Linked DNA regions of Xenopus tropicalis. The protein of the gene in region 1 purifies or fractionates together with the protein of each later gene. This does not show direct contact. Links are inferred from orthologs where the notes say so. Each region holds a gene or a part of one and is shown on either strand. Other genes may lie near its edges.

Evidence for each region.
Region 2: the proteins of dcaf7 (region 1) and sowahc purify together in Homo sapiens (affinity purification with mass spectrometry; 4 studies listed by BioGRID and IntAct, counting the BioPlex papers as one, with this or other methods). This does not show direct contact. The link is inferred for Xenopus tropicalis from reciprocal best matches to the Homo sapiens genes DCAF7 and SOWAHC.

The regions. Positions count from the first base shown.
Region 1 is NC_030686.2:16,437,443-16,441,195, reverse strand, and holds the start of dcaf7 (DDB1- and CUL4-associated factor 7), read left to right. Parts: upstream 1-936; 5' UTR 937-1,009; coding exon 1,010-1,147; intron 1,148-3,426; coding exon 3,427-3,585; intron 3,586-3,720; coding exon 3,721-3,753. Other genes in the region: uncharacterized protein LOC116407961, read right to left, coding at 1-272. UniProt on the Homo sapiens protein: Involved in craniofacial development. Acts upstream of the EDN1 pathway and is required for formation of the upper jaw equivalent, the palatoquadrate. The activity required for EDN1 pathway function differs between the first and second arches.
Region 2 is NC_030678.2:111,887,733-111,891,485, reverse strand, and holds the start of sowahc (ankyrin repeat domain-containing protein SOWAHC), read left to right. Parts: upstream 1-1,191; 5' UTR 1,192-1,706; coding exon 1,707-3,074; 3' UTR 3,075-3,753.

The DNA of each region.
Region 1 (3,753 bases):
AGAGAGGCCTTTAGTTCCTTAGATGTTAGCCCTGGGTCCTTTACGATTTCCTGGAGTATTACTTGTCTTGCTTTTGGTGTGATCTTTGTTGGCCGTCCACTCCTGGGGCGGGAAACAACGGTATGGAATTGCCTCCATTTGTGCACAATATGCCTGACAGTGGAGCGGTGGAGTTCCAACTCTTTAGAAATAGTTTTGTAGCCTTTCCCAGCCTGGTGAGCATCAATAACAGTTTGGCGGAGGTGTTCAGAAATCTCTTTTGTTCGAGGCATGACGCACTTCCACAAGCGTATGTCGCGGATATCAGACTTGGATCCTGAAAAAACGACAGATTGCAGGGCCTAAAGTTATAGATTGAGAACAGCGACTTATATCTGACTCCTGCTCAGGAAAACCATAGTAGTCACAATCTTGTAAAAAAACATATACAGCTGTATATACATGTAAGTCACTATAAAGGTCTGCACAAATACACTAAACTTCTATGCAACGGGTCGTCTGGAACTTGTTTTTTTGTAACTAGGAAAAGAGACCAAAAACCAAGGTTTTTACAGGCAACCAAAATGTATAAGAAAAAAAACGTGATAACTACCTGAAATATAGAATCCGGAGTACGTTCAATAGAATGTTTCTGTAAAATAAACCGCGACTCTTTGCGTTCCACGCCTCTCTCTACTGCAGGATGTTGACTGCTATACACCAATCAGAAAGCGCAGGAAACCAGACATACAGGAAATGAAGTCTAGACAAGCGGCATAACCCAATCAGCTCTTCGGTTAGAAAAGCCCTCCCCTTTTTGCAGCAGTAACAAATCAAAGCGTGAGAAGGGGTTGGAAAGAGCCAATCATCGGCGCTGTACTGTGAGCGTTGTTTTGTTTCTGGGGACGTTCTGGTTGGCTTGTAGTTTGGCACCAATAAGAGGCGGCCGAGAGCAAGCGCCTGCGTATCTGCTTCTAAAAGGCTTCGGCGATCGTGTCCCGGTAACCGTGTTAGCAAAGCAGCTCCAGCCATGTCCCTGCACGGGAAAAGGAAGGAGATTTATAAGTACGAGGCGCCATGGACCGTCTATGCTATGAACTGGAGTGTGAGGCCGGACAAGAGGTTCCGCTTGGCGTTGGGGAGCTTTGTTGAGGAATATAACAATAAGGTGCCTAGAAGTATGCGCTTAGTGTAAAGGGTTAACTATCCTTCCCTCCTTCAACTGGGTAGAGTTGCACTACATCTCCCAGAATGCTCAGTGAATGTGGATAGTTCTGTGTTACAGCTGTGTGGGTTGTATCCAGATGATACACATATAACATGAATTCAATCTGCTTGGTGTGTGTGTGTATGTATATATATATATATATATATATATATATATATATATAATATATATATTATATAAAGATTACAGCAGTAAACTGTCATTTAGATCTATTAAAGGGTCATTTAAAAACCCTCACACAATCTGCTTATAAATACATTGCTATGTAAGTGTACAGTGACCTGACTCATGTACAGACTGTGTGTTTTGCTTTAGAGTAGGATTTTAAACTGGGGCCCAAATCCAATTGAGAGATGAAGTTTTAAAGGCCAATCACATCAGGACTTAGGGATAAATTATTTCTGGTGAAGGAGGGGGGCAGTGGTCTAAAAATGTCTGACAACCTCTGCCGCTGTGGCCCCTGGAACAAAGATTAGATTATGAAAATGTAGATCTATCCAATGTGCTCCCCTTCTGATGGTTTTTTTTCTGGAGTGCCCAATAGATGACTGACTAAATGTTTGGCAAATAGATGCCAGGTGTTGGTGGGGCCCATACACGAGACTTGGTCTGGTGGGGCTGTGTTGGTAGTTTGTATCAGTGTATGCCCAGTGTTAGCTTCCGCTTGTATAAACTGCATTTGTCTTCAGACAGGGCTGCAATGAGGAATCCCTGAGCCCCATACCTCTAAAGCTGGCCATACACGCACCGATAATATTGTATGAAACCTCGTTTCGTACGATATTCGGTGTGTGTATGGCAAGTCGGCGAGTCGACCGGTATCGCAGGAGGCTCCTGATATCGGTCGACTCGCCGATCGGCCAGGTCAAAAGATTTTGATCGGGCACCATAGAAGGCGCCTGAGCAAAATCTGACGTCAGGGCTGAATCGGCAGAAGGAGGTAGAAATCCTATTGTTTCTACCTCCTTATCTGCCTTTTCAGCCCTGAACGGTTAAGGTGGCCATACACGCACCGATATTATCGTACGAAACCTCGTTTCGTACGATAATCGGTGCATGTATGGCATGTCGGCGAGTCGACCGATATCGCAGGAAGCTGCTGATATCGGACGACTCGCCGATCGGACCAGTTTGAAAATTTTGATCGGGCGCCATAGAAGGCGCCTGACCAAAATTCTCCTTTCAGAGCTGAATCGGCAGAAGGAGGTAGAAATCCTATTGTTTCTACCTCCTTACCTGCCGATTCAGCCCTGAATGGTGTGTGGCGGATCTTACGATGTTTCGTGCGACCGATGGTCGTACGAAACATCGTCAGATCGCCACGTGTATGGCCACCTTTAGTGGCGGGTCACGTGTGTGGCCACCTTAAATAGCAGGGACCTCCCCCCTCCAGGTAGAAGTAAAATGGGGCCCCTGGAAACATGAACACACCCTGATTATTGGCACATTCCAGATTCAGCTCCAGTTGCGTCCCACCTTAATACTGTAAACCCACCCACAATTCAACCAACCCACCTTCTCACCCACAAGCTCTGACCCCCCGAATTGTACAATCAAATCTCTTGGGCCCCTGGGTCAATAACCTTTGTACCCACCCTGCTGGCAGCCGTGACTTTAGGAGCTTAATACCATATACATAAATTATCTCCTTTGTATTGTAGGGGGGGGGGGGGGGGGGATATTGCATAGTTAATAAACACCAAGCCTTTTATAATACGCAAATTAAGTGTATTTCACCTAATTATCAACTTAGGGTATGGTTAAGACAGCTGCATTCTTAGACAAGTGGCGATAACTCTTCATTTTATGTTTTGTTGAGGTTTTAAAACATTTTTATATCTCTAGCTTCCAGGTTTGGCGTTTTTGCTGCTGTTAGTATCACTTTAGGAAGTGAAGTCATGCGAGGGCTGTGTAGTTATGTTGATAAGGCCCTCTCCCGATGGGTTGCCACAGGTCCAATTGTTTGGCCAAACGATCAAATAAATCCAATTTAGCCAAGCATGTGAGTGGCCACATCAAGCAAAAGCCCACTAGTTTGGTGATCCCACAAATTTAGGTGATATCTGTACAGAAATGTTTGCTGTATGAATGGTAATGCTAGGAAGTAGGAGTGGCTCAGGTCCTGCACGTGAGTGGTTTAATTTGTACCATTTCACTGTATTAACCAATCTTTCATTCAGGAATTGATTTTTCTTTCTTTTTTTTTTTTCTTTTTTTAGGTACAGCTAGTAGGACTGGATGAAGAGAGCTCTGAATTCATTTGCCGAAACACATTTGATCACCCGTATCCTACAACAAAGCTTATGTGGATCCCCGACACTAAAGGAGTATATCCAGATCTGTTAGCCACCAGCGGGGATTACCTCCGTGTCTGGAGGGTAAGTACGAAGGCAGCGACTACAAGCCCAAAATATGAATAATGATTGATAATGGCACCCAACAGAGTATTAGCGCTTGAGATTAGAGTGTTGATAAGTGTCATGTTGCTTATTCTGTTTCTCTCTTTATCAAAGGTTGGAGAGACGGAGACCCGTCTGGAGTGTTTG
Region 2 (3,753 bases), on another chromosome or scaffold:
TCTGCTGGAGAAGCTCTATTAACTGATGTATTTTGAGAAAAACATGTTTTCCCATTGCAGCATTACTTTAACTAAGGCAGTGGTATTGTTACACCAGTTTTTCCAAGAATTTATAAATGTTTGAGCCAAGGGGGCCCAGACCTTCTGTGAAATGGGTGTTAGGTTTAGGTCTGTGCAATACCAGTAGTACTGATGCCTGGAATGATTAGGCTTCTTTGCTGGAATTGTGACCTGATAGGTATATTCTTCAAAGTGCCTGCTTATCAGCCTGAGGTCCCTGAACAACTTGCACTCGGAAAGTGATACAATTCAGGAAACAGAACATATAAGCCATGTGCATTTGGGGCTTTAATTGCTGTTATTTATGTTAAAGGGTCTGTTCAACTTAAAATTAACTTGTAGTATGATGTAGACAATGATATTCTGAGACAATTCGCAATTGGTTCTCATTTTTTATTATTTGTGATTTTTCAGTCATTTAGCTTTTTGTTTATCAGCTCTCCAATTTGGAAATTCAGCAGCTATCTGGTTTCCAGGGGCCTGTTTACCTTAGCAACCAGGCAGTATTTGATTGTACTAGAAAAAGAAAATAAATGATAAAAAGTAACAAAAAACAATGAAATTGTAAGCTCACAGAGAAATAGTTTTTTGGCTTCCAGGGTCAGTCACCCTCACTTGAAAGCTGGAAAGATGTAGAAGGCAAATAACTTTACTTAGATTGTAAGCTCTACGGGGCAGGGACCTCCTTCCTACTGTGTCTCATACCACATGGCACTTATATATATATATACATATATGTATTTATTTATTATATCACTCATCCTCCCTGTGTGTAATTTTGTATTCTGTAAGATTGTACAGTGCTGCGTACCCTTGTGGCACTTTATAAATAAAGTTATACATACATACATACATACATAACTTGAAATACATAAAAATAAAGAAAACCAATTAGGTCACATTTGATACAATACTAAAAAATGTTTACTCAACTATAATAATATACAGGTAGTATATGACAAGATGTAGGCCGTGAAGATTTCCAATCATCTATGCCCTGGGCAATTAAGGTTACCCTAACTAAAAGTGATTGATGGGAAAGCTTCCCGCTAGCCGTGTAGTTAACAGAGTTGGAATTCCCCTGGATGCCCTTGAGTTCTCTTCGTTTTCCCTTTCTGTGCCAACTTTAATAACAACAGACCCGAGGCAGAGGCCAAACTATGACTGAGGGTCGCAGGTCAAGTTCATCTGCAGCTGAACATGCGCCGAAGATAAAAGAGCGATAGAGATCGCATAATTCATCCCACGACCGCCTGTAGCTTTCCCAACTCAGCTTGCTCTGTACAAACAATCTCACACAAGCCACAGGCAGATGGGATAAGTCCGTGACTGGTTCGGCGCTGTATTGGGCGGGGAGCTCGGACGCACATGATTGGTTTAGAGTTTCAGCATCGCCCCCATCTACTGAAAGTGGTGCAGCCCACGTTGGGTACCAGAGAAGGGAACAGATTTTGTAAGTCATCGATGCGGGGGAGGTTGGGGTTTGATTTGAACAGTAGCTTTACCTTACACGTCGCCGCACTTTCGGTCCGTAGCTGTGTCTCTATAATTCCCACGGGCACTTGCCTTGCCCGCCCCCGCCGAGCCTACCCGCTGGGAGGAGCTGACATGCCTTGTTCCAAGCTCGCCGCCTTAACCGCTCAGTCATGACCGGGCTGAGTCGGGAATCAGTTATCCGCTTCCTAAGCGAGCAAGGCGGCCGGGTACCAAATCAGAATCTACTGGGACACTTCAAGGAGCTGCTGAATGAGCCGCCAGCGGGGGAGTCCCGGGAATCTGTCCGCAGCCGCTTTAAGGACATTGTGAATGAATTGGCAACCGTGAAGGAAGAGGCCGGGGTGAGATATGTCTGTCTGCGGAAAAAATACCGAGAGAGCGGAACGGGAGCGCCCTCATCAGAGAGCTCGGCTAGTGACCATGAGGCGGCCAGCGAGTCCCCAGGGCACAGCTCCGAGGGGGAAAGCAAGGACTTGCCGTCACCTCCCAGCATCTCCGTCACCGAAGCCCCAGGGGGAGCCGCTCAGCAGCCGCAGGAGAAGGAGGGAAATAAGAGCGTCCCCGGGTCACTAAAGCAGTGCCCTGGCTCCCCGGAGGTTTTCCTTCCCAGCGGTAGGACTCCAAGGGGCAGCCGCAGGGGTGTGCGGGATCCCGTGTCCCCCCAGTTCCGCCGGGGCCCCCCGCTGCTTCGGGCCGGGATGCGAGACTCGGACAGCTCGTCCCTTCACAGCTCGTCTTCGGTGTCGGGAAACGAGGAGGAGGAGGGCGGCGCGGCACACGGGCAGGCGGCACTGGACCCTGTGGAACACGCCTGGATGCTCAGTTCGTGCCGGGGCCGCTGGGAGAGCTTACGGGAGCTACTGAGCAACGAGCCCGGCCTCATCACCCGCAGGGACTTCATCACCGGCTTCTCCTGCCTGCACTGGGCCGCCAAGCACGGGCAGCATGAGCTCCTGGCTGCTCTCCTCTCCTATGCGCACCAGCACCGTGTGCCCGTCAATATCAATGCCCGGGCTGCGGGGGGTTACACGGCTCTGCACTTGGCTGCCATGCACGGACACCTGGACGTTATTAAGCTGCTCATAGGGGCATACGATGCCGATGTGGATATAAGGGACTACAGTGGCAGGAAAGCCTGGCAGTACCTTGGCCCAAGCACGACCCATGATGTACAGGGGCTGGTGGGTGCTCTGCCCAGCGCAGGGGGAGAAGAGGAGGAAGGAGGGAATACGGGCTCGGGCCGCTGGCGGCTCTCTAAGGTGCTCCCCTCCCAGCTCATTGTACACCGGCTCTCTCAGCTACCGGAGGAGCAACCGGAAGGGCCCGGCGCAGGAGGCAGCAGAACAGATATCTACAGGAAGGGGTCTGGGGTAAAGGGGAAGCCAAGACTCAATAAAATCCGATTTAGGACTCAGATAATCCATAACAACCTGTCCTCTAGAGACACTTATGAGCAGGAGGATAAACCTCTCAAGAGTCCAATGAGGCTCAGGCCAAAATCCAATGTGTTCGGGTGATCTTAACATTAAACGCATCGATTTTCTATCTCAATGGGTGGGATAGTTATTATAACAGAGAGAACCCCCTCCAGCTACTGCACAACCCAGCAGTCTACCTATGCTGGAAGCTGGAGGTTCCTTCCCTACAACCACACAACATGGGGGCAAATCAGAGTGCACCCACCTTGCTGCACTGAGATGCCTGGCATACTTGAACTTGTTCCAGTTGATTTGGAATTCAGTGACTATCATAGAAATAAGCTCTGAGTGAAAACTGCCTTGGAAATTCTGTGGTGCTGCTAGACAATCTGCTGGCCTGATTTACTCTAGTAGCCATTATTTGTAGCTCTTCTTAAATTGTAGTGCAGACAAGTGCACATTTCCAGTTTTGTGATATTGATAACCAATTCTTTTGTAACTGTTGCTGCATCTTTAGTAATGTCACTCCTGTCGTGCCACCAATTTTAATACTGTAATGTATGCTGGCATATATATTATACGTGACCAAATGTTTGAATTTATCTTTGAACTTTAAAATGATGCACATTGTACTCTAAAATGTGCTCAAACCTTGCTCACTGCCTTTCAAAATTTTTAACCTAAAGCTTTATGGTGGCCATACACAGCCATTAGACTTATTGGCTTGCTGAATCAGTCCCATATTAACAGAGAGAGAGCCATAATTACTAGAACTGCA